Linked DNA regions of Callithrix jacchus. The protein of the gene in region 1 interacts with the protein of each later gene in a biochemical or structural test. Links are inferred from orthologs where the notes say so. Each region holds a gene or a part of one and is shown in the gene's direction. Other genes may lie near its edges. The genes, in order: HTRA2, LATS1, MAPK12, XIAP and CSN2.

Region 1 (6,167 bases):
ACACAGCCAGTCTTGGCTGGGGAGAAAAGAGAAGGGAGTCTACTCCCTGTTCACTTTCTTCCTTCACAACCCACTTTTCCTCCCTGTGTAGAGCTACCCTTTCCCATACCGAGGTCTCTCTGGATGACACCCAATGGCACATGGGGCAAAACTTCTTTGACTCTCTGAGCCAGAGTTGCCAGCTGCATATCAGGAGAAGGACCAGGGGAGGGAGGGAAAGAAGACTGGGCTGTGGAAAAAGCAAAAAAAGAAAAGAAATTTTGTTAAGTAGCAAACTAGGAGAAGGAGAGGCTAACTAGCACAGGAATAGAGGAGGAATCACACTAGGCTGGAAAAAAAAAAACCCAAAAGGTGTATGTATAGAGACCACATACCTGACTGGGGGCGCAATCTGGGGTGTCTTTGTCGCTTCATGTGCTCTGCTTTGTCTGCTGGAGTGAGCCGTGTCCCTGTCTGGCCCAATTCCTTGGCCACCAGCTAGGGAGAATTGGAAAATTGGAAGTGTCAAGATCTCAAGCTTTCCTCCCCCTTCTCCTAAGCAGGGACCGAACCTCCACCCTGCCTGTATATCCAACCACCTGTTGTACACGGAGTGCAAACGCCTCATTCCCTTCTCCTAGTTGGCGATGAACAGGACGAAGCCACCTGCAAAAAACAATCCAGGGCTATGTTGCGGGCACCCAGGGTAAAGGCTGTCACTGCTCCCCACTTTGGTACCTCTTTGCATGGTGAGGGTGGGAAAATAGTATATACTTTTTGTTGCCTCTATGGTAGAACCTTGATATTAAAAGATCTACAAATGGACAGGGCAGAGGCCACTACTTCCTTGACCTTGAGATGAACCTCTCCCCAGTGACCAAAATGTGAGGGCAGTTAATACCTTACTTGATACACCGTGAAAGGGACGAAAAGTGACCACAGGAGTTCTGAGACCCAGGAGGCATCTGACACCGTCTGAGGGGAGGGCATGAAGTGAGGCCTAAGCCAGGGCCTGGGATGGGAAACTTCCCCTCCGAGCCCCAAGATTCCCTGTTCAACACACACTCACCACAGAGACCAGGGGTCTCTGAACTTGCAGGGTAAGAGGTTGTACTACGTCCTGGATAGAAAATGGCCAGGAACTAGAAGAGGAAAGAGAAAGTAGGATGGGAATCCAGCCAGCCTAGTCAGTAGCTCATACCTGCCTTAAAACAGGCAACTATCAAACTCTACAAGTAGATAATTGAAGAATGAAGGGATTCAGGAGAAAGAAAAGTAGACAGAAAGGAAATGAACTAGAGATGTTGGGGGCTAAGGGCTGAAGAAGGTTGTAAAAACTCAAGGGCCCACAAGCTTGACCACCCGATACCTGTGCTAAACCCACCTGAAACGCAGGAGCCCCTCCCGGCCATTGGTGGCCTCTTCCTCAGGGAATAGCAGCAGAGGGGTGGGGGGAAGCCTCGTGGAAGCACAGAATCTCTTGAGTGACTCCACCAACTCCCCCCGCCCATCCATCTCCATGAAGCCCCGAGACCAGCACACAAAGCTGGGGGGACTATTGAGTAGAGGCTGGGAACCAGGAGAAGAGAAAGCAAGATGAAAAAAAATTGAGGAAAATGAGAAAAACTGACATGTGGGGTGGAGGATCAGGGTTAGGGGTAAGGGTCAATATCCTCCATGGGGAACGCGAATGGGGCCTGGGGGCCTTCAGCTGGGCCCCAGGGAACCGCCCCGTGGCGCTCTCGGCCTCGCTCTCACTCACGGTGCTACAGGTGGTGAGTAGATTGACTATGTTGTGGTCGAAAGGTGTCACGTGGTTGGAAATGAGAACCCTGACGCTGTGATCCCGGAGTCCAGAGTCCTCCTGCCGGGCCACGAGCCCCAGCAGCGCACACATGGTCCGCACTACGAACCTGGGGACACAGGAGGTGGTGATTGTGTGTCTTCGGGCCAGGCCCAGCCCTGACACTACCCAAACGCCTGCGTCAGAACCTGCGAAGGACGCTGTCTGGTAGCGCGCAGCTGACCAGGAAGACGTGGATCCCGAGAAAGAGGCGCAGGACGAGGAGGCAGAAGCCAACCGGCGCGTAGAGCAGCAGCGCGAGCAACAGAAAGCCGTCACCCGGGAGCCTGGGGGCGAGAGGCGAAGTGGTCGGGCACCGAAGGCCAAGAGGACGCGAGGATCGGCCTCTTCTCGCCGGGGCTCTTACCGGTGAGAGTCAAAGAGCCTCTCCGGCCCCGGGGCTGAGGGAAGCTCCATTCCTGCAGCTTCAGGAGCGCCCGGCCGTCGTTGCCGCCATCTTCGCGCCCGGCCGCAAGGGCTCCTGGGAAGGCGGAGTCTTTGGGTATCCGCCCGAGGTGAGTGGACCTGAAGTCCTGAGGCGCCCCGGAAGGGCTAGCACTCCCAGCATGCCCCGCGGCTCCTTGGCCCATCTCACAACTCGGGTCTCGCGGAAACCACAATTCCCGGCATTCGCGGGATGCGGAGAGGCGGCCTCCCGGAATCCTGGTTCCGGCGTGCACTTCTGGAGGACTTCAAGTACCAGCGTGCCCTGCGTCCTACTGTCCGCTTGCTCGCGTCCTGGGTGCCGCCTCTGAGTAGGGCGGGCGAGGAGGCAGCCGAGGCGGAGCTGATGGCTGCGCTGAGGGCGGGGCGGGGTGCAGGCTGGATCCTCCGGGCATGGCGGGCTTTGGGGGGTTTTCGCTGGGGGAAGAGACCCCTGTTGACCCCTGACCTCCGGGCTCTGCTGACGTCAGGAACTTCTGACCCCCGGGCCCGAGTGACTTATGGGACCCCCAGTCTCCGGGCCCGGTTGTCTGTTGGGGTCCCTGAACCCCGAGTACGTCTGACGTCTGGGACCCCGGGTCCCCGGGAACAACTGACTGAGGGGACCCCAGATATCAGGACCCAGGAGGCCTCTGGGAACTCTGGAAGCCGTTCGCGCGCGTGGCTGGCGGTGGCGCTGGGCGCCGGCGGGGCAGTGCTGTTGTTGTTGTGGGGCGGGGGTCGGGGTCCTCCGGCCGTCCTCGCCGAAGTCTCTGGCCCGCCTCCCACCTCTCCCCGGAGTCAGTACAACTTCATTGCAGATGTGGTGGAGAAGACAGCACCTGCCGTTGTCTATATCGAGATCCTGGACCGGTAATGGTAGGGGTAGACCCGGAGGCTGTGAAGCCACGGGCCGGAGGGCGGGCGGGTAGGAGGGGTCAGAGCCTCCTCTTACCCGTGCTTTCCCTCCATTCCAGGCACCCTTTCTCGGGCCGCGAAATCCCTATCTCAAACGGCTCAGGATTCGTGGTGGCTGCCGATGGGCTCATTGTCACCAACGCCCATGTGGTGGCTGATCGGCGCAAAGTCCGTGTGAGACTGCTTAGCGGCGACACGTATGAGGCCATCGTCACAGCTGTGGATCCTGTGGCAGACATCGCAACTCTGAGGATTCAGACTAAGGTAGGGGCTGGGGTAGGCCAGTTCTGGTTGGAGCCGCTTATTTGCTTGCATCTCCAGATGACAGGTCTCTTATACCCATTCTCCCTTAGGATCCTCTCCCCACGTTGCCTCTTGGATGCTCATCTGAGGTCCGGCAAGGGGAGTTTGTTGTTGCCATGGGAAGTCCGTTTGCACTGCAGAACACGATCACATCCGGCATTGTTAGCTCTGCTCAGCGTCCAGCCAGAGACCTGGGACTCCCCCAAACCAATGTGGAATACATTCAGACTGATGCAGCTATTGATGTGCGTCCTGACAGGAAAGAAATGACAAATGATGGGGGAGGGGGAAGAGGCTTTGTGGTACAAGCACCAACTGATACATGTTGGATGACACTGTATACAGACCTTAGGCTGCAAAAATGTGGCCACTCATTCATGGGCTGAGAAAGAAGAGAATTTGGAGAAAGCACCTACATCCTGGTATGCCCCCAGACTTAGAATCCCCAGATCTCTTTCATGTTTTGTCCTTGTTCTGCAGTTTGGAAACTCTGGAGGTCCCCTGGTTAACCTGGTGAGTGGGACATCCTTCCTTCCAAGAATCCCTGCCCCAGGTCAGTGTGGGAAGGGTGGTTTTTCCCTAATTCAAAGATGTTTGGTCAAGTTTCTGAGCAGTTCTTTATTGGCTATCTCTCAACATCCAACCAGATTTCCCCAACACTTGATGCTACTTTTGTTCAGGTGCCCCCATCCCCTACTATCTGTTTGGGCTAGGGAACAGGGGGCTGTGTCCCTGCAGGATGGAGAAGTGATTGGAGTGAACACCATGAAGGTCACAGCTGGAATCTCCTTTGCTATCCCTTCTGATCGCCTTCGAGAATTTCTGCGTCGTGGGGAACAGGAAAGTGAGCCTGGCTTATGGGGAAATGGGTTCCTTTAAAATGGTGGGTGGGAAATAGGTGAGGGGCATTCATTGGGACTTGCTGGAGGGTGGTCTACTGGGAGAGGAGGGTAGGGGAAGGATGTCGCTGGGTGGGACTCATTTGTCCCTCTGTCACAGATTCCTCGTGTGGAATCAATGGGTCCCGACACTGCTATATTGGGGTGATGATGCTGACCCTGACTCCCAGGTATGAGCTTTAGGGATAGTGACATGTAATGTAACCAGTGTAATCAGAGGTGGGCCTCTGGTACCTCTGTTGAGCTTTATTCTCATTTCTCTCGTTATCTAAAATGAGCTGCATCACACTTGGAACAATCACAAGAGCTGTCCCCCTTCATCATCTTGACTTTCTTATCCCACTCCACTTTGCACACCTGTCACCAGATTGATTTCATCCTGTTACTGCTTTGATTTCAAGCCTTCAATCCATTAACTTGGCATTTAAGGGCCATTTTCCATCTGTCTGTAAATCAACTTTCTAGACCTGGCTGTTATACCTTCTTATATGTATACTCAGCCAACTTGATTTCCTTCTCCCATGCTGTTTTATTTATGCTGTTCTTGTTTTATATGGTTAATATCACATCCATCCTTTTAGGCTCAGTTTCTTTCTCCTTAAAGCTTCTCTTAGCATTTAGAGTGACATTAGTGCTATTAACACTGTTTGTCATTTGGTGCCCTCATGTGGTGTACATCTTTTATGTACATGTTGCTCTTAACTGCTAGAAGACAGAAAGTGAGTGGCCATTGTATTTTGTAGTACCTAGTGCATGTCCTGTCACTAGGTACCTAGTGCATACCTTTGTCAATGTGTCGATGAGAGAGTTGAGGTGAACTCAGGATGGGGAGAATGCCTAGGTTTGGCTAATAGGGTGATCTGTGTACTTTCAGCATCCTTGCTGAACTACAGCTTCGAGATCCAAGGTTTCCCGATGTTCGGTATGGTGTACTCATCCATAAAGTCATCCTGGGCTCCCCTGCACACCGGTGAGGGAGAGGCTTCAGTGTGAGATGGGGATGGGCGAGGTGTGCATGTGTCCTTGAACTGGGCTTTCTATTCCTTCCTTTCTCTCTGTCTGTTTTTCTCTGTAGGGCTGGCCTGCGGCCTGGTGATGTGATTTTGGCTATTGGGGACAAGGTGGCACGTAGTGCTGAAGATATTTATGAAGCTGTTAGAACCCAACCCAAGATGGCATTGCGGATCCGGCGGGGACGAGAAACACTGACCTTATATGTGACCCCTGAGATCACAGAATGAACAGATCAGCAAGAGTATGAGGCTCCTACTCTGATTTCTTCCTGCCTTCCTGGCTGAGGCTCTGAGGGTGCCGGGACAGAGGGTTAAATGAACCAGTGGGGGCAGGTCCCTCTAACCACCAGCACTGATTCCTGGGCTCTGAAGAATCACAGAAACACTTTTTATATAAAATAAAATTATACCTAGCAACATATTATAGTCAAAAATGAGGTGGGAGGGCTGGATCTTTTCCCCCACCAAAAGGCTAGAGGTAAAGCTGTATCCTCCTAAACTTAGGGGAGATACTGGAGCTGACCAACCTGACCTTCCTATTCAAGACAATGAGCTGTTGCCATCTTTTGTTGTGGGCAGTTAGTCAGGTGGTGCTCTTTCTGGTGTGGTGTGCTCTGCTCGGCGCTGGGCCTGGGAGCAAAGATTCCCCATGCTTGGCCACAGATACTGACAGCTGGCCTCTGAAGGAGGGTGATAACTTCTGCTTGACAGTTCCACATCCATAGTGCATGGTCCAATGAGTGCGGTTGCTGACATGGGTTCCTTGGTAAGCTCCTGAGGTAATGGCAG
Region 2 (5,741 bases), on another chromosome or scaffold:
GAGAATCACTTGAACCTGGGAGACGGAGATTGTGGTGAGCCTGTGCCACTGCACTCCAGCCTGGGTGACAAGAGTGAGACTGTCTCAATTTAAAAATATATATATATTAAAATATATTTAAAAGCAGTAGTAGCTATGAAAATTACAAATAGATATACCCTTTGGCTTAATAATGCCACCTCTAATAATTTATCTAAAAATATGCATGCATATATATGAAACCTATATCTGTTCAAAAAAAAATTTTTTTTTTTTTTTTTTGAGACAGAGTCTTGCTCTGTCCACCCAGGCTTGAGTGCAGAGGCACAGTCTCAGCCCATTGCAGCTTTGGCCTCCTGGGTTCAAGCGATTCTCCTGCCTCAGCCTCCCAAGTGGCTGGGATTACAGGCACACACCACCACACCCAGCTAATTTTTGTATTTTTAGTAGAGATGGTTTTAACATGTTGGCCAGGATGGTCTTGATCTCCTGTGCTCGTGATCCAACTGCCTTGGCCTCCTCAGTGCCCAGCCATGGTAAAATTTTTTTAAAGTGAGGAAATAACTTTATATACTGATATGGAATCTTCATTTTATTTAATGAGAAAAGTCCTTGTTAGTATAGTGGTAAATAGAAAAAAGAAAAGAAAAAAGCTAGGCATTGTAGTAGTACATATAGGATATTTAGTACTAACTTGTATCTGTATATCCCTGAAGTACCTTATTAAAGAGCATTGGTCAGCTAAAGGACAGAAGTGGATATGATATTATACTTTGTGAATTTTGAGCCATCAATCAAGAATACTTTTATTTTTTTGAGACAGGGTCTCATTCTATCTCCCAGGCTTGAGTGTAGTGGCATGATCTTGGTTCACTGCAACCTCTGCCTCCCAGGTTCAAGCCATCTTCCAACCTCAGCCTTCCTAGTAGCTGGGACTAGAGGCACGTGCCACCATATCTGGCTCATTTTTTTGTTTTTAGTAGAATGTTGCCCAGGCTGATCTCAAACTGGTGGGCTCAAGAAATCCACCCACCTCAGCCTCCCAAAGTGCTGAAACTTTGACCAGGAGTGAGATACCGTGCCCAGTCAAAAATAAATAAAATTTTAAAAGATAAAAGGAAAACACTTACTGAAATTTTATTTTTATAACTATTTTTTTCCTAAATTGAGCTAAATAACAATAAGAGGTTAAAAACATGATTCTTTTTTCTCTTTATCTCTCTTATGACCATAGGGAATGTGCAACAATCAGTTAACCGCAAACAGAGCTGGAAAGGTTCTAAAGAATCCTTAGTTCCTCAGAGACATGGCCCACCACTAGGAGAAAGTGTGGCCTATCATTCTGAGAGTCCCAGCTCACAGGCAGATGTAGGAAGACCTTTGTCTGGATCTGGTATAACAGCATTTGCTCAAGCTCACCCTAGCAATGGACAGAGAGTGAACCCCCTACCACCACCTCAAGTAAGGAGTGTCACTCCTCCACCACCTCCAAGAGGCCAGACTCCCCCTCCAAGAGGTACAACTCCACCTCCTCCTTCATGGGAACCAAACTCTCAAACAAAGCGCTATTCTGGGAACATGGAATACGTAATCTCCCGAATCTCTCCTGTCCCACCTGGGACATGGCAAGAGGGCTATCCACCACCACCTCTCAACACTTCCCCCATGAATCCTCCTAATCAGGGACAGAGAGGCATTAGTTCTGTTCCTGTTGGCAGACAACCAATCATCATGCAGAGTTCTAGCAAATTTAACTTTCCATCAGGGAGACCTGGAATGCAGAATGGTACTGGACAGACTGATTTCATGATACACCAAAATGTCCCTGCTGGCACTGTGAATCGGCAGCCGCCACCTCCATATCCTCTGACCGCAGCTAATGGACAAAGCCCTTCTGCTTTACAGACAGGGGGATCTGCTGCTCCTTCATCATATATAAATGGAAATATTCCTCAGTCTATGATGGTGCCAAACAGAAATAGTCATAACATGGAACTGTATAACATTAATGTGCCGGGACTGCAAACAAATTGGCCTCAGTCATCCTCTGCTCCAGCCCAGTCGTCCCCAAGCAGTGGGCATGAAATCCCTACCTGGCAACCTAACATACCAGTGAGGTCAAATTCTTTTAACAACCCATTGGGAAATAGAGCAAGTCACTCTGCTAATTCTCAGCCTTCTGCTACAACAGTCACTGCAATTACACCAGCTCCTATTCAACAGCCTGTGAAAAGCATGCGTGTATTAAAACCAGAGCTACAGACTGCTTTAGCACCTACACACCCTTCTTGGATACCACAGCCAATTCAAACTGTTCAACCCAGTCCTTTTTCTGAGGGAACCACGTCAAATGTGACTGTGATGCCACCTGTTGCTGAAGCTCCAAATTATCAAGGACCACCACCACCCTACCCAAAACATCTGCTGCACCAAAACCCATCTGTTCCTCCATATGAATCAATCAGTAAGCCTAGCAAAGAGGATCAGCCAAGCTTGCCCAAGGAGGATGAGAGTGAAAAGAGTTATGAAAATGTTGATAGTGGGGATAAAGAAAAGAAACAAATTACAACTTCACCCATCACTGTTAGGAAAAACAAGAAAGATGAAGAGCGAAGGGAATCTCGTATTCAAAGTTACTCTCCTCAAGCATTTAAATTCTTTATGGAGCAACATGTGGAAAATGTACTGAAATCTCATCAGCAGCGTCTACATCGTAAAAAACAATTAGAGAATGAAATGATGCGGGTAAAACCTTTTAAAATGTCCATTTTTATACTTAATCATCTGTTTACTTGGTGTTTATTTTAAAATATTGTGCTCCAGTATTTTTCATTCTTTTTATAGCTTAATACAATATATTATCAGTTACAGAATTTAAAAAGTAAATAAATATTAAAGTACATTTGATTGTAACCATTTTATTTTAGTATTTCAAGATTTACTCAGAATTTCCCATAATAAAATCTTGTATAAATTAAGAAAAATATAATTTGCGATATACAGTTTAGGTGTACATAATACTTTATATGGAAATTGAAGCAAGGGTTGTTTTCTAGGTTTTATACTTTATCTTACAACATTTAAAGATAAACTAATAATATGTAGGTCTCATCTCCTGATACACTTATGAAACATTTCTTTTTACTTGTAGAAAATTTGAAGTTTATAGGTTTATTGATCACATAGATCTTACTAGAAAGTGTCAAAGAAGTTCTCTTCAGTTATTTCTCCCTTCTGATTTCATTTTTATAATATACTGGAGAAAAATGTGTTGAAATTAAGTCAAACTATACTAAAGGGAGATCAGAGTAAATAAACCTATGTAAATTATGTTGTCATTACACCTAGATCTCTTCACTAGATATTAAGATGGTATTGTCATCATTATTGTTTTTATCAGATGCTTAGATTTCAAAGATTTGACTCCTAATCTTACATCTGTTACTCACAATTCAAGAGGCTTAACCTTGTGATTAAACATCTTTATGACTTGAGAGAACCATTCTTTTTAAAATTATTTTCCCACCAGGCAAGGTGGCTCAGGCCTGTAATCCCAGCACTTTGGGAGGCTGAGGTAGGCGGGTCACCTGAGGTCAGGAATTCAAGACCAGCCTGACCAACATAGTGAAACCCTCATCTCTACTAAAAATACAAAATTAGCCATGCATGGTGGCACATGCCTGTAATCACAGCTACTTGGGAGGCTGAGGCAGGAGAATTACTTGAACCTGGGGGGCGGAGGTTGCAGTGAGCCCAGATTGCACCATTGCACTCCAGCCTGGGCAACAACAGCAAAACTCCATCTCAAAATAATTTAAAAACAAAAAATAAAATGATTTTTCCAAATCTGATTTACAGTATTTTTATTCCATTTTACATTTTATTAAATGATAAATTCCATAATAATCTCTATGACTTATCTATATTTTAGTTCTTAGCATTTCTTACTAAAGTCTGTTTGTATGTATTTTCTTAGTTTATTTTTCCTTTTTCCTCTTCACTTTCACTAATAGCTGATTTAAACTTTTATGGTGTTGGAAGCTTTGCTGACTTCTGTAGTCTCCATTACTGTGTAGGCAAGTAAGATTTTGAGAGAAACAGTTCTGAACTAAGTCTGGCACGTCACCCTTCTTAAAAGATTTTGCCTGCAAAAATGTGAATCCTAACAGAAGCATGTGGTTGCTCTATTTTAGTCTTGCATTTCTAGAATTAGACCTCACTTTTCTAATTGAATTCCTTTTCTATTTAAACCCTTTAATTAGTTCTTTATTAATTAGCCTAAATATTTCTCCCTTCTAAATCCAGGTATTCCATATCTATAATACTTAGAAGTTAGTTTTTGTTTTTAATCTATTTTTTGATATCTTCATGAGTCACACTGACTATTCTTTGAAATATTCCTAAATACCCAAAGGATATCTTGTAAACAAACAAGTAGGAGAAACCCTTTGCAATTTGTGTTAGTGGTGAGCCATGAGTCACACCTTTACTCTAATGCCCTGAAAAAGAGAAAAGGAAAGATTATTCATGACTATTATATATTTATTGAGAATGGGCAAGGATTGGTGGGTTAGAAAAGGCATTGTTTTGTTGTTCTTGGTACATTAATTTTTTAGAATAAATTAGCCTGGAGTGGGAGAATTTTTTTTTTCATGAAAGATAAAATGGGAGGAAGGATATTTGAGGCCTAGGCATTACACTAAAATAAGTATATAACAGAGATAAATGAAGATGCATGTTAACAGATACTTGTTTCACATTGAGAACCTTTTTTTTTTTTTTTTTTTTTTTCCGGAGTGCATTAGTGAAGAGTAGAAAGCTGATTCTTCTGGTATCCTCTTCTTGCCCTCCACAGCTGAATTTGCATATGTACTCACTTTGAATATCCTTTTAACTACCTTTTAAGCTGCACTTTTGATCATTAATTTCCTTTGAAATGTTTTCTAGATTTCTAACATGCTTTATTAAAAATTATGATGCATTTAACCTTTAATATATGCCTGAATTTTTTCAAAGCTATTTCATAATATTTAATATTGAAGAAGATAATTCTTATTTAACATCTAGTTTATTTGCCTAGGTTGGATTATCTCAGGATGCCCAGGATCAAATGAGAAAGATGCTTTGCCAAAAAGAATCTAATTACATTCGTCTTAAAAGGGCTAAAATGGACAAGTCTATGTTTGTGAAGATAAAGACACTAGGAGTAGGAGCATTTGGTGAAGTCTGTCTAGCAAGAAAAGTAGATACTAAGGCTTTGTATGCAACAAAAACTCTTCGAAAGAAAGATGTTCTGCTTCGAAATCAAGTCGCTCATGTTAAAGCTGAGAGAGATATCCTGGCTGAAGCTGACAATGAATGGGTGGTTCGCCTATATTATTCATTCCAAGATAAAGACAATTTATATTTTGTAATGGACTACATTCCTGGGGGTGATATGATGAGCCTATTAATTAGAATGGGCATCTTTCCAGAAAACCTGGCACGATTCTACATAGCAGAACTTACCTGTGCAGTTGAAAGTGTTCATAAAATGGGTTTTATTCATAGAGATATTAAACCCGATAATATTTTGATTGATCGTGATGGTCATATTAAATTGACTGACTTTGGCCTCTGCACTGGCTTCAGATGGACACACGATTCTAAGTACTATCAGAGTGGTAAGTAAACTCAAAATGTAGATTGTTCATAATGTAATTTATTGATATAGTAAAATATAGGATGATGATATTGGATGAGAGCCAGAAGACGGGTCAGGT
Region 3 (6,486 bases), on another chromosome or scaffold:
TCCGACACTCCTGTCCCAGCACCCTGGCCCACTCTCTACCTCTGCCCACCGTGTGGCCCTGCAGCCAGAGATCGGAGGTGCTCTGGTCTGCGGGTTAGTCATCCTCTTTCCTTGTCCCAGGATGGAGCTGATCCAATAACCCTGGAAGATGGGACCCTGCTCAGAGCTGAGTTGGGAGTGTGGCTTTGCCCTGGAAAGGCGGTGACCTCTTGCCTTGAGGGGCCCAGGAAAGCCTGGGTGTCAAGTGCCTGCACCAGGGGTGCACAATAAAGGGGGTTCTCTCTTGCTCGGCTCATATCCAAAGGCCACTACAGGCCCTGCTGCTGGGGGTGGGGGAAGTGTCTGGGTCACCCTTCATCACTTGTCTCCAGCTGGCCAGATCCCTCAGTCTCTCAGTCAGACAAGCAGCCATCTTCTGGCACCCTCCCTGCTCCCCGGAGGGTCTGAGAGCCCAGGGGGACCAAGAGAAGACATGGCTGATGGGTGGGCTCTGTGCATAGGGTGTGACAGCCACCCAGATGGTGACCCCAGCTGCCCTATGGGGATGTACTGGGCAGGCTTGGCTTCTGGCCAAGATCCAGACCCCACCCCCCACAGTGGTCAGGGAGGCTGGCTGGGGAGTAGTTGGGTGTCTCAGGGAGTAAGGGTCTGCCCATCCCTGGTGGGGTGGGGCTGGGCAGGGTAAGGAAAATAGCTTTCCTTTCCTTTCTGTTGAAGATTAAAGAGCCCACTTTAATCTGAGGGATGTATGCGATAGTCCCATTCCCACTATACACGGTAGTTTACTGTGGGGGAGGGTCCAGGCCATGCTGGGTCAGGCAGCATCTCTGGGGGCCAGGGACAGCCTGTGCCCCTTGCCTGGGTCTTGGATGGGGGGTGGAAATCATCTGGGAGTTGGGGGCCTCCTGGGGCCTAGTCAGTGTAGTGTTCAGTCCTGGGGAAGTCCAGTGTTGGGGTGTGGGGGAGCAGAATGGGGACACAGCCCCACCTCAGATGCCTGGTCTGTGTGGGGCCTGCTGGACCCCTGAGCCCCACCATGAGGAGTGAGGGGGACAGCAGTGGAAGCAGGGCTTCCTGGAAGACGTGGATGGAGTGCCACAGGCAGCCCAGGGCACAAAGGTTGCAGGCCACAGCCAGTTGTGGTTTGGGTAGCCCCGGGCTACCCCGGCTCACTGGTCACCAGCTGGTGAATGCCGCAGACAGCCGGAAGCCCAGGTGTAAAGCTACTCCCACCCTTGAGCGGCTGAGCTGCTGATTCATGGCAGGAGGGCGGGCGGGGGGCCCTAGGGAACTTGTTACCCACCAACCCAGTGGGTTCCAGGGGTGCACCCCCCATCCTTCCTGAGACCCAGATCACTGGGCTGGGGAAGGGGTGTCAGGGTGGGGCTTTTCACTCTGAAGCATCTGGTCCAGGATGGAGCCAGACCGATGGGAGGATGATGCCCACACGGAGGGGACAGGCTGAGGGCCCAGCAGGTCCTCGTCCCTGTAGGAGAGAGTGCAGCCATGAGCTTTGCAGGACGGAACAGGCAGGGGTGGGACAGGCAGATGCACTGACACTTGCAATGCGTGGAACAAGCACCCCACAGAGGAGAGAAGGGGAGGAGCTGGGGGTGCAGGAGGGCCCACGGGGACCTATGGGACTGGGAGGCCCAGGGTCAGTGGCCACAGCAGTGGGGTTGGGCATGCAGCTTGAGGAGTCTGGGAGACAGGGACGCAGGCAGGACAGGTGCAGGTGGACCCCACGTGCGGGGACAATGGTCAGGCACAGCGGCAGGGTATCCTTGGGGGTGAACCTGGGAACACAGGGCTCAGCCCAGGGAACTCAGGGCAGGGGGACAGTGACTTGCAGCTGCAGACCCAAGTCGGTTCTCAGGCTGTCACGGATGGGCCTGGAACTGTGGGGAGTAAGGACTGGAGCCCGGCGGGGATCCTGCTGAGAACGCCCCTCCTCACCCCCCAAGGCAGGGAAGTTCAGCCAAAGGGCAGAGGCTGGCATGGGTATCTCCGCGCCGCGTCCAGCCCTAGGTCCGGACAAAGCTGCGGGGCGGCGCTCCCCTCCCCCTGCGCTTCCCCCCAGGCTCCGGCCCTCCCCCGGCGGCGGCCGCCTCGGGTTTCCGGAGGGGCCGGAGGGCGGGCGAGGGCGTCACGTGCGCGCGGCCCGCGGGCCGGTTGGTCCCCGGGCGGGGGAGGGGCCGTGCGCTGCCTGGGTCGGGGCTGGGGTCGGGCAGGGGTTGGCACCTGGGACATCCCTGCGGGAAGAGCCGGGAGCAGGAGCGCCCCAGCGGCGGGCGGGCGGGCGGGCGGACAAGCCGCGCGGAGCGGGCCCGGGGCGCGCGCCGAGGGAGCCCCGCCGATCCCGGGTTACCGGTCCTGGGGGAACCGCCCGCGGGCTCTGCGGAGTGGGCGGCTCCCGGGCCTGCCATGAGCTCTCCGCCGCCCGCCCGCAGTGGCTTTTACCGCCAGGAGGTGACCAAGACGGCCTGGGAGGTGCGCGTCGTGTACCGGGACCTGCAGCCCGTGGGCTCGGGCGCCTATGGCGCGGTGTGGTGAGCGCGGGCCGGGTGGGGCGGCCGGCGGGGCGGGCGGGGCCTGCGCGGGGTGCCCGGCCTTCCCGCTAAGCGTGTGCCCCGCAGCTCCGCGGTGGACAGCCGCACCAGCGCCAAGGTGGCCATCAAGAAGCTGTACCGGCCCTTCCAGTCCGAGCTGTTCGCCAAGCGCGCCTACCGGGAGCTGCGCCTGCTCAAGCACATGCGCCACGAGAACGTGAGTCGCGCGGCCCCGCTCCGGGAAGGCGCCGCACCACGGCTCGGCTCGGCTTCCCCACCCAGCGACGCCCCCTCAGCAGGCGGCTGCGGGGCGGGGCGGGGACCGGGCCGTGGATCCCCAGGGGAGGAGGAGAGCAGGGCTCAGCCCCCGTCTTCTCTGCCAGCCCCGGGAAGGACTCACCCCCTCAACTCCGCGCCTCAGCCAGGCCCTGGTCAGGGGACACGAGTTGGCCAGGCTCAGGGATTCTCCAGCTCTCATGCCAAACCCTGCCCCCAGCCAGGAAGCCCGTGGTGAGAGGACGCTCCCAGTGGGCCGATTTTCCTGGAAGGGGCACCTCCCCTCTTTCCCATCCGGACCCCTCTCCAGCTCCTCTGTGGAGCCCACTCTGTTGCGGTCCATTTCCCGAGTCTTCTGACCCAGCGGGGGGCGAGGGGGGCGCGTCCAGAACGTAGGGAGTGTTGGACCCTCAGGAGCCCCTGGGGGTGCAGGGTGTAGGGAGCTGGGGTTTGGGGGCCACTGGGTGCGGTGGCCATCACACAGACACCCTCCCGTTCCTTGGGTGGTGGTGGGGGCCCATCCTTTCCAGCCCTGCCCATGAGATGCACAGCTGCCCTGGGCCTCTCTCATGGCTGTGGCTGGCTGTTGAAAGCCCTACCTTTCTGCCAGGGGCGCTCCCGTTTCTGGACACAGTTCCACTTGTTCACTGCCCCCCACGTCACTCCTGCCCTGCCATTTGAGCTCCTGGACCCTAGCTTCAGGGTCACACGCTCTGGACCCTCCTGGGTCATCCAAGCCACCAGCGCCCTGGGAGAACGAGTCCCTGCGTCCACCAGCAGACTGCCCCCACCACTCCCTCAGCCCTTGAGTGGGTGCTTTTCTCTGAGGCTTCCCATGCCCACCCTGACCCCAGCTCACCCCCCTGGCCCTGTGAAGCCCCTTTGTGGTGGACAGCAGTACCGCCGCCATCTCACCACCTCCCAAGTCACACCCAGGCCTTGTCCCAGGAGTGTACCCGCCCCCACCCTTGGTTTTATCCAGCTCCTCCCCTGCAGCCCCCTGGCCCCACCCACCCACTCACCTGTCTGTTCCTTGCCCCTGTCCAGCCAAGAGCCCCGGGCTTTTCTTTTTTCTCTGGAGACTTGTTGCCCAGGCTTGAGTGCAATGGTGAAATCTTGGCTCATCGAAACATCTGCCTCCCTGGTTCAAGCAACTCTCCTGCCTCAGCCTCCCAAGTAGCTGGGACTACAGGCACGCGCCACCACACCCAGCGGGGGATTTTGTATTTTTAGTAGAGCTGGGGTTTCACCATGTTAGGCTGGTCTGGAACTTCCAACCTCAGGTGATCCGCCCACCTTGGCCTCCCAGAGTGCTGGGATGACAGATGTGAGCCACCACGCCCAGCCACCAGGGCTTTTCTGTAGTCACTGCTCGCTGTGCCTGTGGGTCCACCCCCTGGGCTCCTGGCCTGCAGCTTCGGCTCTTCCCCTGGAACGCCATCATCCTGGGAGACTAAGGGTTTGCAAGGCCATGTGCCTTGCTCAGCTGGGGAGGAGGCTCTGGCACAGGCCCCAGTCCTGACGTTTCCAGGCGGGCCCCCATACCACAGAGGCCAAATCCATCCATCTGATGGCCCCAAGCCCACAGGACCCTGTTCTCCGTCGTGGGCTAAACCACTCTCCCAGGCACCCTCCAGCTCTCATGACTGCAGTCCCGGCTGCTCCCAGGCCTCCCTAGACCTCGCCCCACCCACCGTTCCTTCTCTTTCCACACTCTTGCCCTCAGCTCTGGCCCACGTGGCTACAGTGGAGCTGTCCTTCCAGCTTGTGCCCATTCTTGCCTCACTCCGGCTGGTCCCTATACCACAGCCAGGACACATTTAGCATCACACCCCTGTTTAAATCCTTCCCTGTCTCTTGGGATCAAAGCCAAACCTTCACCTGGTGTGTGCTTCCTGCCGGCTCCCTCTGGCCTCTCCTCAGCCCCTCCCTGGCCTGGGCCTCGGCCACCTGGCCTCCCTCCCTTTGTTCCTCAAACTCTCCCAGTGTTTTCCCTCCTGCCTCGGCTACTCTGTGTGTGCCCTCTGCCAGTTTCCCTCTGTCCACACGTCCACCTGCTCCTCTGTCCTTGGCTATGCAAAACTCCAGGCCTCTCTGGGACCCTGGAGGCCCTGTCACCCCAAAATGCTGAGGTGGCAGTTATCTTATGACCTGTCCACTGTCCGTCTCCCCAACCAGGGGCGTTGTGGGGACCAGGTCTGACTGGTCACGGTGCTGCCTGCCTGGGCCTCTCTCCCTATAGCGCTGTCCTCACCCTGGGCCTGGGTCTGCTTGGTTGGGGAGAAGATGGGAGAAAGGGTCAAGGGGCAGGAGCCCTTTGGATGGCAAGCCAGCCTAGGCTTGGGGTTGCCCCTCCCCCAGAAGATCCCGGCTGTCACCATCCAAAAATAACCTGTCTGTGGGTATGTGTGCCAGGGCTGGGCCACACTGCCAGTGGCCAGTGGGCAGAGCCAGGCCCTTTGGACAGTGGGGCATGACAACAACAGCTGCAGAGGGGGTTTTCTGCCCAGAGGGCTGTGCCACTCTTGGGGGGGTGCCCCAGCCCATGTCCTCTACGGCACCCTCAACCCTACCTGCCCTCCCCCCGCACCAGGTGATTGGGCTGCTGGACGTATTCACTCCTGATGAGACCCTGGATGACTTCACGGACTTGTGAGTGCTGACCTGGGCTGGCTGCCAGGCACAAGGGGTGTTGGGCAGCTCTGGGTACTGGCTTCAGGTTCTAGGTTGGCATGGGGCTCTCTTCCTGCAGGCTGAGTGGGGGATGCACATTGCCCAGCCCCTCCCCCACATGCTCCTGGGACCCACGGGCACTGGCACTGCCCAGCAGAGCTGGGGCTGCCGCCTCCCTCCAAGTCTGGCACCTGGGCCCTCTCCAGCACTGGAGGTGTGAACCTTGGACCTGAGCATTTGTTAACAGGAAGGTCCCGTGCCTGGGACCTTCCTGGCACCAAGTGTGTGGCCTGTAATGGGAGCTGCTGACCTTTTCCGACGGGTACAGGAGAAGCAGTAGGGAGGACCTGCCCTGCCCGTGCCCTGTAGCCGACCACCCTGAAACTCACACCTTGTCGGCCAAGAGTGAAGGTCCAGGCTGAGGAAGAGCTGGAGAAGGCAGCAGGCTCCTCTCGCCTGACTTGCAGAGGTCAAGGACCCACGCTGGCCTCAGTGGCCACTGAGAGGGGCTATACCATGCTTCTGTGTCTGTCCACCAGCCCAGCTGACCCCACTGACCCAGATGCCTTGTGAGCCCCTAACACCTCCAGGCACCTCCCTCGTCTCTGGCACAAAGTTCTGAAGTTGAAACCTGACTGCTTCCCTCCCCTGCCTGTGAAGACTTGAGCCCTGCTGCCTCCACCACGCAGCCTCAGCCCCTAGACTGGCACGCAGGGCACTCAGTGGAGGGTTCAAAAACCCCAAAGTGCATCCTCCACTCTGCCTGACAGTCCTCGGGGTGGGAGGGAGGTGTGAGCATTGCTGGCAGTGATGGGGTTGGGTCTGGATGGAGCCTGGCACTACAAGGTGCAGCTTCGAGGATGCCGAGGCCAGTGGGGATAGGTGCTGCAGGGGGATCTTCCCAGAGGCACTTGCTGGAGCGGGATGGGTCTGAGCCTGGGCCTGCTGGGTGGGCCTCCAGGATGCAGAGGCTGGCCCTGCCTACTGA
Region 4 (5,741 bases), on another chromosome or scaffold:
TTCTTCTATACTCACAATTCCTCTGCCCCATATATACTTGTTTTCTGTGGTGTCATTTTCCCAACCTCCATTTCACTTAGATCCTATATATATATTTTTACCCTATCTTGCCCTTTTTGTTTGGTGCCTTCCTTCAAACCCAAGGTTTCTGTCTTTCATCAGTCATCCTTCCACCTTTCACTCTTTTTTTCTTTTTCTTTTTTCTTTTGAGACAGAGTTTCGCTCTTGTTACCCAGACTGGAATGCAATGGCACGATCTCGGCTCACTACAACCTCCGCCTCCTGGGTTCAGGCAGTTCTCCTGCCTCAGCCTCCTGAGTACTGGGATTACAGCACATGTGCCACCATGCCCAGCTAATTTTTTGTATTTTTAGTAGAGACGGGCTTTCACCATGTTGGCCAGGATGGTCTCGATCTCTTGACCTCATGATCTGACCGCTTCGGCCTCCCAAAGTGCTGGGATATAGGCGTGAGCCACCGTGCCTGGCCTATACCTTTTTCTTTCTTTTTTTTTTTTTGAGATCAAGTCTCATTCTGTCACCCAGGCTGGAGTGCAGTGGCGCCATCTCAGCTCACTGCAACCTCCGCTTCCCAGGTTCAGGTGATTCTCCTCCCTCAGCCTTCCAAGTAGCCTCCTGTGTGCCACCACGCCTGGCTAATTTTTGTATTTTTTGGTAGAAGTGGGGTTTCACCATGTTGGCCAGGCTGGTCTTGAAGTCTTTACTCCAAGTGATCCACGAACCTCAGCCTCCCAAAGTGTTGGGATTACAGGTGTGAGCCACTGTGCCTGGCAACTTATATCTATTTTGATTGACTTGAAATAAAATTTAACACCTCAGAGAAGATAATTCTCATGTGTTTTGAATTATACTGAACGTTAATTCTTCAGGATAATTATAGACTTGAAAATGTTTAATCCAGTCTCCTAGTCCATGCCGAAGTTCCTTCCAGTGATAAGAGGAACTCATAATTTACAAGGCAACCCAATTCATTTTGTGCTACTATCAATTGTTATAAAGCTGATCTTTGGGTTATAATCTACTGTTTATAATTGTATTTATTGATCTTAATTCTGCCCTCAAGCTATACAAAATTTGAATCTCTTTTCTACGTGATAACCTTTTAGATATCTTAAGGTAGTAATTCTGTCCTCTCTACCCTTCCCCTCACAATTTTAACAACCTTTGGGATAAATATCCTTTGCCATTCCAACTATTTCTCATATGATAACATTTTCATCATCCTGATAGCTCCCTAAGGACATTAAACTTGGTTAATATCCCTTCCAAAATCTATTTGGAACTGGAAATAGTATCCCTTGGTAGCTGAATTGGATCTGGATGTTGCACATCTGGACACTACTGCAGCTTGAAGTTGCTGTTTTTTGTATACTTGTAGTGTTGGCTCATGATGACTTTGTAAGTAATTAAAATCCCAAGGTTTTAATCTGGAGGATTGCCTTTATGTGACTTCTTTTTAAACCACGTCTCCATCTTCTTTTAGCTATGTTACAGATTTTTTTTTTTTTTAAAAAAAGACAGGGTTTCACCATGTTGGTCAGGCTGGTCTTGAACTCCCGATCTCAGGTGATCCGCCCGCCTTGGCCTCCAAAGTGCTTGGATTACAGGTGTGAGCCACTATGCCTGGCCACAGATTTTTTTTTTTTTTTGAGACAGACTTTTGCTCTTGTTGCCCAGGCTGGAGTGTAATGGTGTGATCTCTGCTCACTGCAACCTCTGCATCCCAGGTCCAAGCGATTCTCCTGCCTCAGCCTCCTGAGTAGCTGGGATTACAGGCATGTACCACCAGGCCCCATCAATTTTTTTTTCCCCCGTTTTTGAGATGCTTGCTCTGTCACCCAGGCTGGGGTGCAGTGGCACAATCTCGGCTCACTACAGCCTCCACCTCTTGGGTTCAAGTAATTTTACTGACTCACAGCCCGGCCAACATGATGAAACCATGTGTCTACTAAAAATACAAAAAATTAGCCAGGTGTGGTGGTGGGTACCTGTGATCCCAGCTACTCGGGAGACTGAGGCAGGAGAATCGCTTGAACCTGGGAGGTGGATGTTGCAGTGAGCCAAGATCTCACCACTGCACTCCAGCATGGGTAACAAAGCGAGACTCTGTTTCAAAAAAGAAAGTCGTGGAGACCATATTCCAAAAGTTGTATGCAGATATAACTCAGCTCTTGAGGTATATGAGTTAATACCATGATAAATTCACATGGCCAGGAAAGACTGATGTCCACTGCCAGCTTGCTTTGTGTTGAACATTTCTCCAAGAGAGATTAAATTCTGAGACATATTGTGTCAACATAAAGGCAAAAGAGCTGGCTAATTCTTGCCAAGAAATCAATTATGCACATACAATATAGAGACAAAGTTATTGTGTCCATTCTCTGATTTTGTGTTTGACAAGTTTATATTGAGTATGTTATCAGGCAATTCGGGAGATTCTGAAGAACCAGGTTTGCCTCATAGCTAGGGATGCCATATGCTCTAGTTTGCCTGGGGCAACCCTGATTTATGCCTGTTGTCCCAGTGTGATTATTACTAGTGTAATTTTTCGCTTTGAGAAGTGTCCAGGTTTGGAACGTAAATTATCTTGCCACCCTTCTCATAACCTAATGGGTTCCCTTTAGCATTTTATCTGGGTTAAACATTACACAGCTGTAAATTGGCAGCTCTAATAAGACTGCAATGATACTTATCTTCCATTTGAACAGATTGTTCCTTGACCAAGGGAAGTTAATAGTAAAAGTAACTGCAGGGCACATGTTCCCAGGACCTCCCAAGGGCTGGATCATGGGGGAAAAAAAAAAAACAAAAAAACCCAGTAATAGCAATTAAGGTTTCTAAGTACTTAGAATTTTTCCTGAGCCACCCTGTAGAGGGCGGTATTATATATATATCTGGAATTATCCAGTTCCAACAAAAAATGAGCTCTTGTTCATGCATGAAAATCAGAAATATTTGATACTCTTAAAGAACACATTGGAACCAGCATTATGATTAAAACATATTTTGCTTCAATTCCATCTTCTTTAATCAGAAGAGACCCTCACCATGGATACTTGTATGAGTCATCCAGGTAGCATACAATGAGGATCTTAATAAATAAAATAAATAAATAAATAAAAACATATTTTGCTAAGCAAAGAAATATTAAAAATTAATTCATTAACATTCTGAACATTTTTTAATTTGTAAAAACTGAATTTTGATGCCTTGAATATACAATGATTCATTATAACAATTATGCACAGACTTTAATAATCTCCATATTTTATGCTTCTTTTATGTTTTTCCTAATTAATTATTTGACATGGTTAATAATTATAATATATTCTGCTTCACAGTTCCATATTTATGTAAAATAAGCATTTAAAAATTATTAGTTTTATTCTACCTGCTTAAATATTACTTTCCTCAAAAAGAGAAAACGAAAATGCTAGATTTTACTTTATGACTTGAATTATGTGGTAATGTTGAACTCTAGTATTTAGAATTAGAATATTTCTTAGAGGTCGTGTCATTATTTTTATGTCCTAAGTGGATAATTTGTTAGCTCCTAGTAACAAAAGTCTATTGCTTATGTTTCACATTTTGGATTTCCTAATATAATGTTCTCTTTTTAGAAAAGGTGGACAAGTCCTATTTTCAAGAGAAGATGACTTTTAACAGTTTTGAAGGATCTAAAACTTGTGTACCTGCAGACATCAATAAGGATGAAGAATTTGTAGAAGAGTTTAATAGATTAAACACTTTTGCTAATTTTCCAAGTAGTAGTCTTGTTTCAGCATCAACACTGGCAAGAGCAGGGTTTCTTTATACTGGTGAAGGAGATACCGTGCGGTGCTTTAGTTGTCATGCAGCCGTAGATAGATGGCAATATGGAGACTCAGCAATTGGAAGACACAGGAAAGTATCCCCAAATTGCAGATTTATCAACGGCTTTTATTTTGAAAATAGTGCCACGCAACCTACAAATCCTGGTATCCAGAATGGTCAGTACAAAGTTGAAAACTATCTGGGAAGCAGAAATCATTTTGCTTTAGACAGGCCATCTGAGACACATGCAGACTATCTTTTGAGAACTGGGCAGGTTGTAGATATATCAGACACCATATACCCGAGGAACCCTGCCATGTATAGTGAAGAAGCTAGACTGAAGTCCTTTCAGAACTGGCCAGACTATGCCCACCTAACCCCAAGAGAGTTAGCGAGTGCTGGACTCTACTACACAGGTATTGATGACCAAGTGCAGTGCTTTTGTTGTGGAGGAAAACTGAAAAATTGGGAACCTTGTGATCGTGCCTGGTCAGAACACAGGCGACACTTTCCTAATTGCTTCTTTGTTTTGGGCCGCAATCTTAACATCCGAAGTGAATCTGATCCTGTGAGTTCTGATAGGAATTACCCAAATTCAACAAATCTTCCAAGAAATCCATCCATGGCAGATTATGAAGCACGGATCATTACTTTTGGGACGTGGATATACTCAGTTAACAAGGAGCAGCTTGCAAGAGCTGGATTTTATGCTTTAGGTAAACTTCATTATAAAACCAATAAATGACTTCCCAACTATGCCAGGGCTCCTAAAAAGTAAATAGATGCCTTTAGCCCCCTGAACTGGTAAATATTTAGGTATAATTTGGCATGATTATACCTATATTCATCTTATTCTGTGAACTCTTATGTTGAACCTGTAACGTAACTACTGAACTTATGTGAAAAAGACTACCATATTATGAGTCACATTTCTCTTCATGTAATTGTTTTTAGGAAGTAATAACATGCAAAAGATGGTAGACATCTCCAATAACAAAATGGGTCCAATAAAATACTTTGATTTATTGAGCACCTATTATATGTGCACAGTATGTATACTTCATGCATTTTCTCTAAGCTTCACAATTTTTTTTTCTTTTCTTTTTCTTTTTTTCCTTTCCTTTTCCCTCCCTCCCTTCCTTTCTTTCCTCCCCTCCCCTCCCCTCTCCTCCCCTCCTCTCCCCTCCCCTCTCCTCTCCTTCCCTCCCCTCCCCTCCCCTCTTCTCTCCTCCCCTCCCTTCTCTTCTTTGGGATTTCACCAAGACCAGGATGGTCTCAATCTCCTGACCTCATGATCTGCCCATCTCGGCCTTCCATGGTGCTTGGATTACATGCATGAGCTACCACACCTAGCCCATAATAACTTTAATAATTTTTTTTTTTGAGACGGATTGTTAGTCTTGTTGCCCAGACTGGACCACCTGGCCCACAATAACTTTAATAACTTTTTTTTTGAGGTGGAGTTTCACTCTTGTCCAGACTGGAGTGTAATAGCACAGTTTCAGCTTACTGCAACCTCTGCCTCCCAGGTTCAAGCAATTCTCTTGCCTCAGCCTCCCGAGTAGCTGGGATTATAGGCATGCACCAACACGCCCGGCTAATTTTGTATTTTTAGTAGAGACAGGATTTCTCCTTGTTGGTCAGGCTGGTCTCAAACTCCCCACCTCAGGTGATGCGCTGGCCTCAGCCTACCAAAATGCTGGGATTATAGGCGTGAGCCACTGCACCTGGCACTTTTTTTTTTTTTTGAGACAGAGTCTCACTCCATTACCTAAACTGAAGTGCAGTGGCATGATCTTGGCTTACTGCAACCTCTGCCTCCTGGGTTCAAGCTATTATTGTGCCTCAGCCTCCTGAGTAGCTGGAATTACAGGCACATACCACTGCACCTGTATAATTTTTGTGTTT
Region 5 (6,407 bases), on another chromosome or scaffold:
TGATAGACCATAATCCATCCGGCACTGCCTTCACTTCTCTTCAATCTTGGGGAAAAGGTAATAATTGTAGATACTAATTTCTTGTATCTTCTCCTAATCATTTATTTCAAAGTAGCTTGAGCTATAGAAAGAACACAGTTGCTTAAAATATAGTGTTTGAAATAAATATTTAAGGTAGTACTAAAATTATTTTCTACGCTTTGGCTAAAAAAGATAGAAGTGTCCAGAAAAATTTGGTAAAAAAAAATTGCAATGACATATAGCCTTCGTGAGTTTAAGAAAATGTAATAACTAATTTTATGCATATATATATATATATATATTTAGTATGAGGCTAGTTAATAGTTAATATTAAGAGGATATTTAATTTTTGAATTATTTTTCCAATTTGATTTAGCATATCACAATCATAAAAAGAAATATGCTTGAATTATAGTACGGGTAGACAATTACTGGAAAAGCTTTGTCCAAAATGTAGTTTACAGTGGTAGCATACTGAGTCAAAAAATGGAGGTGATGGTTTGGGGACATTTACTACTTTGTGTTTATTAACAATGTTCTTAGAAGAGTTTACTCATCAAACTTGTCTAGAGCCTCAAAATTCCCAGTTTATTATCTAGTTTATAATATTTCAAAACAATATTAAAATGAGACAGAAATACAGAATTAAGTTAAAAAGAAACAACGTGGTTTGCTTTGTAAGAAAATTCTTAATGGGGTAGAGAAGACTTGGAAACCATAAACAAAGATAATAGACAATATAGAAGAAAAAGTAGCTTAGAGAATACCAGTTGATAATGAAGCTCTGGCTTCAAAATCAGTACATAAAATGCTACTCAGAAAATATAGAAAATGCTCTGGGATCTTCTCAGTGTGTAATGATATATAATAGAGTGCTGTATTCTTTTTCTGAACCATGAGATAAAAAATTTGGAAATTTATGGAGATCTCAGGCAAATAAAATTAATAAAGAATTATTTAACTTTCATAAAAATCTAGAAAAAATATTTATTTTCCATAATAGATAGAATTATGATCAACCTTCCAATATTAAAAAGAACACTTTTCAAATAAGTTAGAGACATTTTTCATGAAATATTTTTAGCTTAAAAATTGAGTTTCAAAAAGGTGAGAATGAAGAGTGAATGTCAAGTCATATTGTGGCACAAACATTATTTTGAAATTAATTATAAAAAAATGTAAGAACACATGATTAGGAGACAGTTTGGTATATTTTGGTCCAAAATGTTAACATATATTTTGCAAGAAGAGGTAGTCTCAAGCTTGGCAGTGTGAAAGAGACTCTGACCTCTTGGTAGAGCATCAAGAAACCTGCATGTATATTTTAATACAGAGAAAAGAAGCAGCCTAATGTATAATCTCTAAAGTCATGTGGCATAAAAGAGAAAGAACAGACATTATTAGCTATGCGGGGAAGAAGACTGCACAGTGGGTATAAATGGAGCAGAATCAAACTTCATAATCCAACAAAATCTCTGGATAGTGACACAAATAAGGAAAATGTTAAAATGAAAATGTCAGTCTTATTGGAAATGAGGAGAAATAATTAGATTAAATATTCATGATAACCATCTGGTGAAAAAAAGATAAAAATAAAATGTGACTTTTTTGTACACATTTTCTTGATCAGTCTCTTCCAGTAGAACTGAGGCTCCATGAGGGCTGAGACTTTGTTTTGTTCATTCTTGCAGTCCAGTTTCCTAGACAGTGTCTGGCAAGAATAGATTCTTAAGAAATATTTTAAAATTAATGAACATATCTTTCCATATGTGTTTATAACTTCTTTATGCCTTTTTAAAAATTCAATACTGTAAATGGGACTTTTTATAAAAGTGAGGTTGGAGTTGTTAGGTGACAAATCTGAGTAGCTAGTAATGAAGTTTGGAATTTGATAAATGATAGTAGCAAGCCATAATATATTTTGACCTTAGTCATATAACTTCTATTTATTATTTATTCTATTTGTTTTCTAAAATGCAGACATTTTTGTTATACATTATCTCTTCTTTGAAGAAAAAGTAACCTTACCTAAATAAGAAAATACATCCAATTGACCAATCCATTTTTTCTCCATTCACAGGACTTAGTAGCCATGAAGATCATCATCCTCACCTGCCTGGTGGCTCTTGCTCTTGCAAGGGAGGTATGTGCACAATAAAAAGTTCCTAAACAATCAAAAAATAGTGCACTATATGCCTATTGGTAGAGAATAACATTACCAACATTTTTTTACTGTATAAATAATGAAGAATTTCATGAGAATTACCTTGGCTTCTACCAAAATCATTTATATTTACCCAGTGTGTCAACAGTTTCCCATAGGGCTTCAAATGCTTCCTATACCAATGTGCTGCTAGTCACTAAAGAAAAAGCAAACAAATCACTAAGTAGTACAACAAATGATAAAATGGTAATAAATACAATTGCACACATGCTCAATCTAGATAAATATATTATTCCAGTGATAAAAATATATATGTCTTGTACCCTAAGGCACTGGATCAAATCTTGTGTCCGTCTATACAAAGACATTGATAGAATAAAGTACAGACATAATCGTAATCATGATCATAAATATATTTATAGTAGTATAATGAAAAGTATGTAATACAAATTGAAGTGACTATTTTTCTGTTACCCATCAAAAACTGTCTTTAATAAATGTAAGATAAAATATATTAATAGAAATGACTAACATAAAAAACATTAAAGCAATTACCTTTCAAGCCTCAAAAGTTGTATAACATTTTTTAATTTATCAAATTTTTGAAAGAGATAGCTCTGCATAAATGATGTAAAAATTAGGGAGTATATATGTTTAACAACGAGCTAGCTATGGAGACTAAACTTTTAAAAATCTTTTCAGAAGGAAGTACCCAGTGCATACTCAGAGGTAAGATATTTTTTCAGAGAAGATTTATGAACCATAATAGTAAAAATCTCTAATTATCTAGAAGACTTGGCTGGTTGTCATTTTTTTTTTCCACAGACTGTAGAAAACCTTTCAAGCAGTGAGGTAAGATAACATTCTACCCAATTTTAGAACAGTAAAATCCTGTGCTATCTGTCTATGACATTACATCATGGCAGTTATGCTAATGCAGCTATGTTAATGACATAGAAGTTCTGGTCTATATTTCCTTTATATATGTTTAAGGACAATAAATATCTGGATAGTACAACAATGTAGAACTTTCTGAATTGGCCTGATACTTGAAATTGTGTCATTTTGCTTCCTTTTTTTTTTTTTCAAGTGTTTTTTGTATTGAACTCTCTTTACTCTGAACTCATTCACCTTAAATATTTATTGAGGGCCTTCTATGGGTTAGACATTGATTAGGAACTGTGGTAGAAACTGAAATGATGGAGATGCCAGTGATAATTAAGAGCTTGCAAAGTAGTAGGTAGGCAGAAATGCAAAAGGACACATTTTATAATTACAATATAGTCACTTTGTAAGAAGTAGCATAGTGTAGACCTAAATCTACTGGAGAGAGTCAGGTAGCTATTTGTTCTTACACCACTCCTCTTGGGTGTGTGATCACTTGATAAGTAAATGATACATCAACACATGGTCTCTTCAGAAAGGTTATATGATCCTTAAGGGAAGTGTTTAGTTCTTATGCTTAATTTGAAGAAACTAAAAGTGATTAACATAATGTATCAATTGTTATTGAAATCTATTTTCAATGAGTATTTTCTTTTTTAAAAAATCAGATCGAGTTTTAGAGATCATTTCTTGTCAGGGAATGAGCATGGTAGTAGAGGGAAATTAGTATCAATTTTTTTTTGTACAATGACCTTCTTGACTGCATTCATCTGACTTTCTTTTATATAACAAGCTTACATAGAACAGTGTAACACATAAGGTTTAATGATTACACAAAATGATTACTTTTATCAAACAATTATGCCTTTATTTCCTGATTTATATTTCAAAGTAAGAATTACTAAAACTAAACCTGATTTTATTTTATATTTTTCTGTAGGAATCCATGACACAATACAAGGTAAATTTTCATTTAAAATGTACATATTTTCAAAATTTCCTGTTTAATTTTTACAGATGGTAACTTATCTTTATATATGATTTATTTTTAACAGAAAGTTGAGGAGGTTCACCATGAGGAACAGCAGCAAAGAGAGGTAATTTATTCCTGATAAGTATATTTCTAAAGTTATTATAAAGTATAATATGTAAAAAACTATTTATAATGGATATGTTGATTCTAAAGAATGATAATAAAATAAATGCCATATGCCCAGCAACCCCTGTAAAAAATTAAACATTGATAAAGTCAATATGTTTTCCAGGATATGCATGCATTTTGAAACATAATTTCTAGAATATAGACTAAATACATAATGATATTACTAATGGTATATCTGTTTTCAGTAAGTTCACATTAGTGGGAATATTTTCAGGTTGCTAACTATGATTCTCTTATTCTCAAGGTGGGTATGGTAATGAAAGGGTGTATACAGCTGGTAAAAAATCTGTGTAGAATTAGTGCCATATTGCCTTTATTCCCTTAAGGAAAACACAAAATCCTGGATTTCATTAAATTACATTTATCTTGATGTATTTACCTAGTTATAATTTTCAGTTGCTTTGTGTGTCAGTGAATTGTTTGGTGCTCACATAAATTATTTTTAAAATCAAATTTAAGTAAAAATATCGATGTCTCTTGAAAGACTCAAGAAAACTATCTTCTCCCAAGGGAAGAAACGCAAGAATTTGGTCCCTGTTAAACTACTTCCTGAGATTAGCCACAAATTAAGACTGATTTTTTTTTTCATTAAACCAAACCAAAATAAAAATAAACCTTGAAATTGTCCTTTTAAGTCTTTTTAAATCAATCTCTTTTCACTATATGAAAAGAATTTGGTCTATTACTGGTACAACTGTGTTAAAAAGTAAATGCTCTCTGAAGACCAACGCGTACAGCTACAGCTATCCAGGCAATTCAGGAAAAGGTGAACGAAATGTTTCTGAAATATCCAAGCACTGATATCACTTTGGCCTGTGTAGTTACTCATAAAGTGAGTGGATTAAAATCTTTAAACAAACATTTTACTCATTTTTCTTCACATGACTCAAGATAATTTCTTAATCAAAATAAGTGAAAGATTTTCTTCCTCCCTTTTTACTCACTTATCACTGTCTAAAAGAGAGAAATCACTTCATTATGAATGGCAATTATAGCTGAATCAAGGACTTCAACGATTCTTTTTCCTTCTTTCCAGGAGGAACACCAGGATAAAATCCATTCGTCTTTGCAGCCACAGCCTCTAATCTATCCATACGTTGAGCCTATCCCCTACCCTTTCCTTCCACAAAACATTCTGCCTCTTGCTCAGCCTGCTGTGGTGCTGCCTGTCCCTCATCCTGAAATAATGCAAGTCTCTAAAGCTAAAGACACTGTCTATACTAAGGGCAGAATGATGCCCATCCTTAAATCTCCAACGATGCCCGTTTTTGACCCTCAACTCCTGAAACTCACTGCTCCTGAAAACCTGCATCTTCCTCTGCCTCTGTTCCAGCCCTTGATGCACCAGGTCCCTCAGCCTATTCCTCAAACTCTTGCGCTCCCTCCTCAGACTCTTGCGCTTCCTCCTCAGACTCTTGCGCTCCCTACTCAGCCCCTGTGGCCTGTTTCTCAGCCCAAAGTCCAGCCCATCCCTCAGCAAGTGGTGCCCTACCCTCAGAGAGATATGCCTGATGCAGCCTTTTTGGTCAATCAAGAACTTTTACTGGACCCCACCCGCCAGATCTACCCTGTGACTCAGCCAATTGTCCCAGTTCATAAGCCCATTAGTGTAAGTCCAAATTTACTGACTTTGCTGTTTCATTTAAGATGTGTATGTGATGGTAGAATGAAAGAATAAATGTACAGTAAATGAATTTTAAAAAAAGTTTAGTTAAGTGATCCTTAATGCTTACCTATGCAATAGAATCTCCTGGAGAAATATTCCCTTGCAAAACCCAATGCCAATGCCTACCCAGAGATTTTTTTTTTTTAATGAGGGATTGTGATTGACGTATATGCCATATTTCCATGTATATAATGTGTACCTAACTTAACAGTAATTTGAAAATTATATATACATTGACATATAAATATACATATATGTATGTAACTTTGCTAAATTGTGCTTTTTGTTTTGCTTATACTTTAATAAAGAAGTAGTGAAAGACAAATGGAAAACAAATTAAAATAGTGGTCTTTTAGGAGGAGGGAAAAAATAGAGATAGAAGAATGCTAGATTTCTCTGAATGTACCTAGTTTTGGAGTTTTGACTTTGAAACCATGTAAATGTGCCACATAATTAAAGAACACTTAAGTTACAAATCAATCCCAAAAAATAAAAGCAAACAAAAGAAA

Evidence for each region.
Region 2: the proteins of HTRA2 (region 1) and LATS1 form a complex in vitro, tested with the Homo sapiens proteins (2 studies listed by BioGRID, with this or other methods). The link is inferred for Callithrix jacchus from reciprocal best matches to the Homo sapiens genes HTRA2 and LATS1.
Region 3: of the proteins of HTRA2 (region 1) and MAPK12, one has a biochemical effect on the other in vitro, tested with the Homo sapiens proteins (2 studies listed by BioGRID and IntAct, with this or other methods). The link is inferred for Callithrix jacchus from reciprocal best matches to the Homo sapiens genes HTRA2 and MAPK12.
Region 4: the proteins of HTRA2 (region 1) and XIAP form a complex in vitro, tested with the Homo sapiens proteins (10 studies listed by BioGRID and IntAct, with this or other methods). The link is inferred for Callithrix jacchus from reciprocal best matches to the Homo sapiens genes HTRA2 and XIAP.
Region 5: of the proteins of HTRA2 (region 1) and CSN2, one has a biochemical effect on the other in vitro, tested with the Homo sapiens proteins (2 studies listed by BioGRID). The link is inferred for Callithrix jacchus from reciprocal best matches to the Homo sapiens genes HTRA2 and CSN2.

The regions. Positions count from the first base shown.
Region 1 is NC_133515.1:38,663,603-38,669,769, reverse strand, and holds HTRA2 (serine protease HTRA2, mitochondrial), read left to right. Parts: upstream 1-2,605; 5' UTR 2,606-2,612; coding exon 2,613-3,118; intron 3,119-3,222; coding exon 3,223-3,427; intron 3,428-3,516; coding exon 3,517-3,711; intron 3,712-3,946; coding exon 3,947-3,979; intron 3,980-4,186; coding exon 4,187-4,310; intron 4,311-4,465; coding exon 4,466-4,535; intron 4,536-4,593; exon of another isoform or gene 4,594-5,239; coding exon 5,240-5,335; exon of another isoform or gene 5,336-5,440; coding exon 5,441-5,606; 3' UTR 5,607-5,797; downstream 5,798-6,167. Other genes in the region: lipid droplet-regulating VLDL assembly factor AUP1, read right to left, coding at 1-16, 110-229, 375-477, 579-645, 881-954, 1,049-1,121, 1,364-1,548, 1,742-2,109 and 1 more.
Region 2 is NC_133505.1:156,463,355-156,469,095, reverse strand, and holds part of LATS1 (serine/threonine-protein kinase LATS1), read left to right. Parts: intron 1-1,213; coding exon 1,214-2,724; intron 2,725-5,059; coding exon 5,060-5,642; intron 5,643-5,741. UniProt on the Homo sapiens protein: Negative regulator of YAP1 in the Hippo signaling pathway that plays a pivotal role in organ size control and tumor suppression by restricting proliferation and promoting apoptosis.
Region 3 is NC_133502.1:218,836,995-218,843,480, reverse strand, and holds the start of MAPK12 (mitogen-activated protein kinase 12), read left to right. Parts: upstream 1-2,236; 5' UTR 2,237-2,424; coding exon 2,425-2,549; intron 2,550-2,636; coding exon 2,637-2,766; intron 2,767-5,418; coding exon 5,419-5,477; intron 5,478-6,486. UniProt on the Homo sapiens protein: Serine/threonine kinase which acts as an essential component of the MAP kinase signal transduction pathway.
Region 4 is NC_133524.1:119,623,631-119,629,371, forward strand, and holds part of XIAP (E3 ubiquitin-protein ligase XIAP), read left to right. Parts: intron 1-3,640; exon of another isoform or gene 3,641-3,645; 5' UTR 3,646-3,672; coding exon 3,673-4,549; intron 4,550-5,741.
Region 5 is NC_133504.1:128,104,189-128,110,595, forward strand, and holds the start of CSN2 (beta-casein), read left to right. Parts: upstream 1-2,113; coding exon 2,114-2,164; intron 2,165-3,010; coding exon 3,011-3,037; intron 3,038-4,010; coding exon 4,011-4,031; intron 4,032-4,125; coding exon 4,126-4,167; intron 4,168-5,268; coding exon 5,269-5,841; intron 5,842-6,407. UniProt on the Homo sapiens protein: Important role in determination of the surface properties of the casein micelles.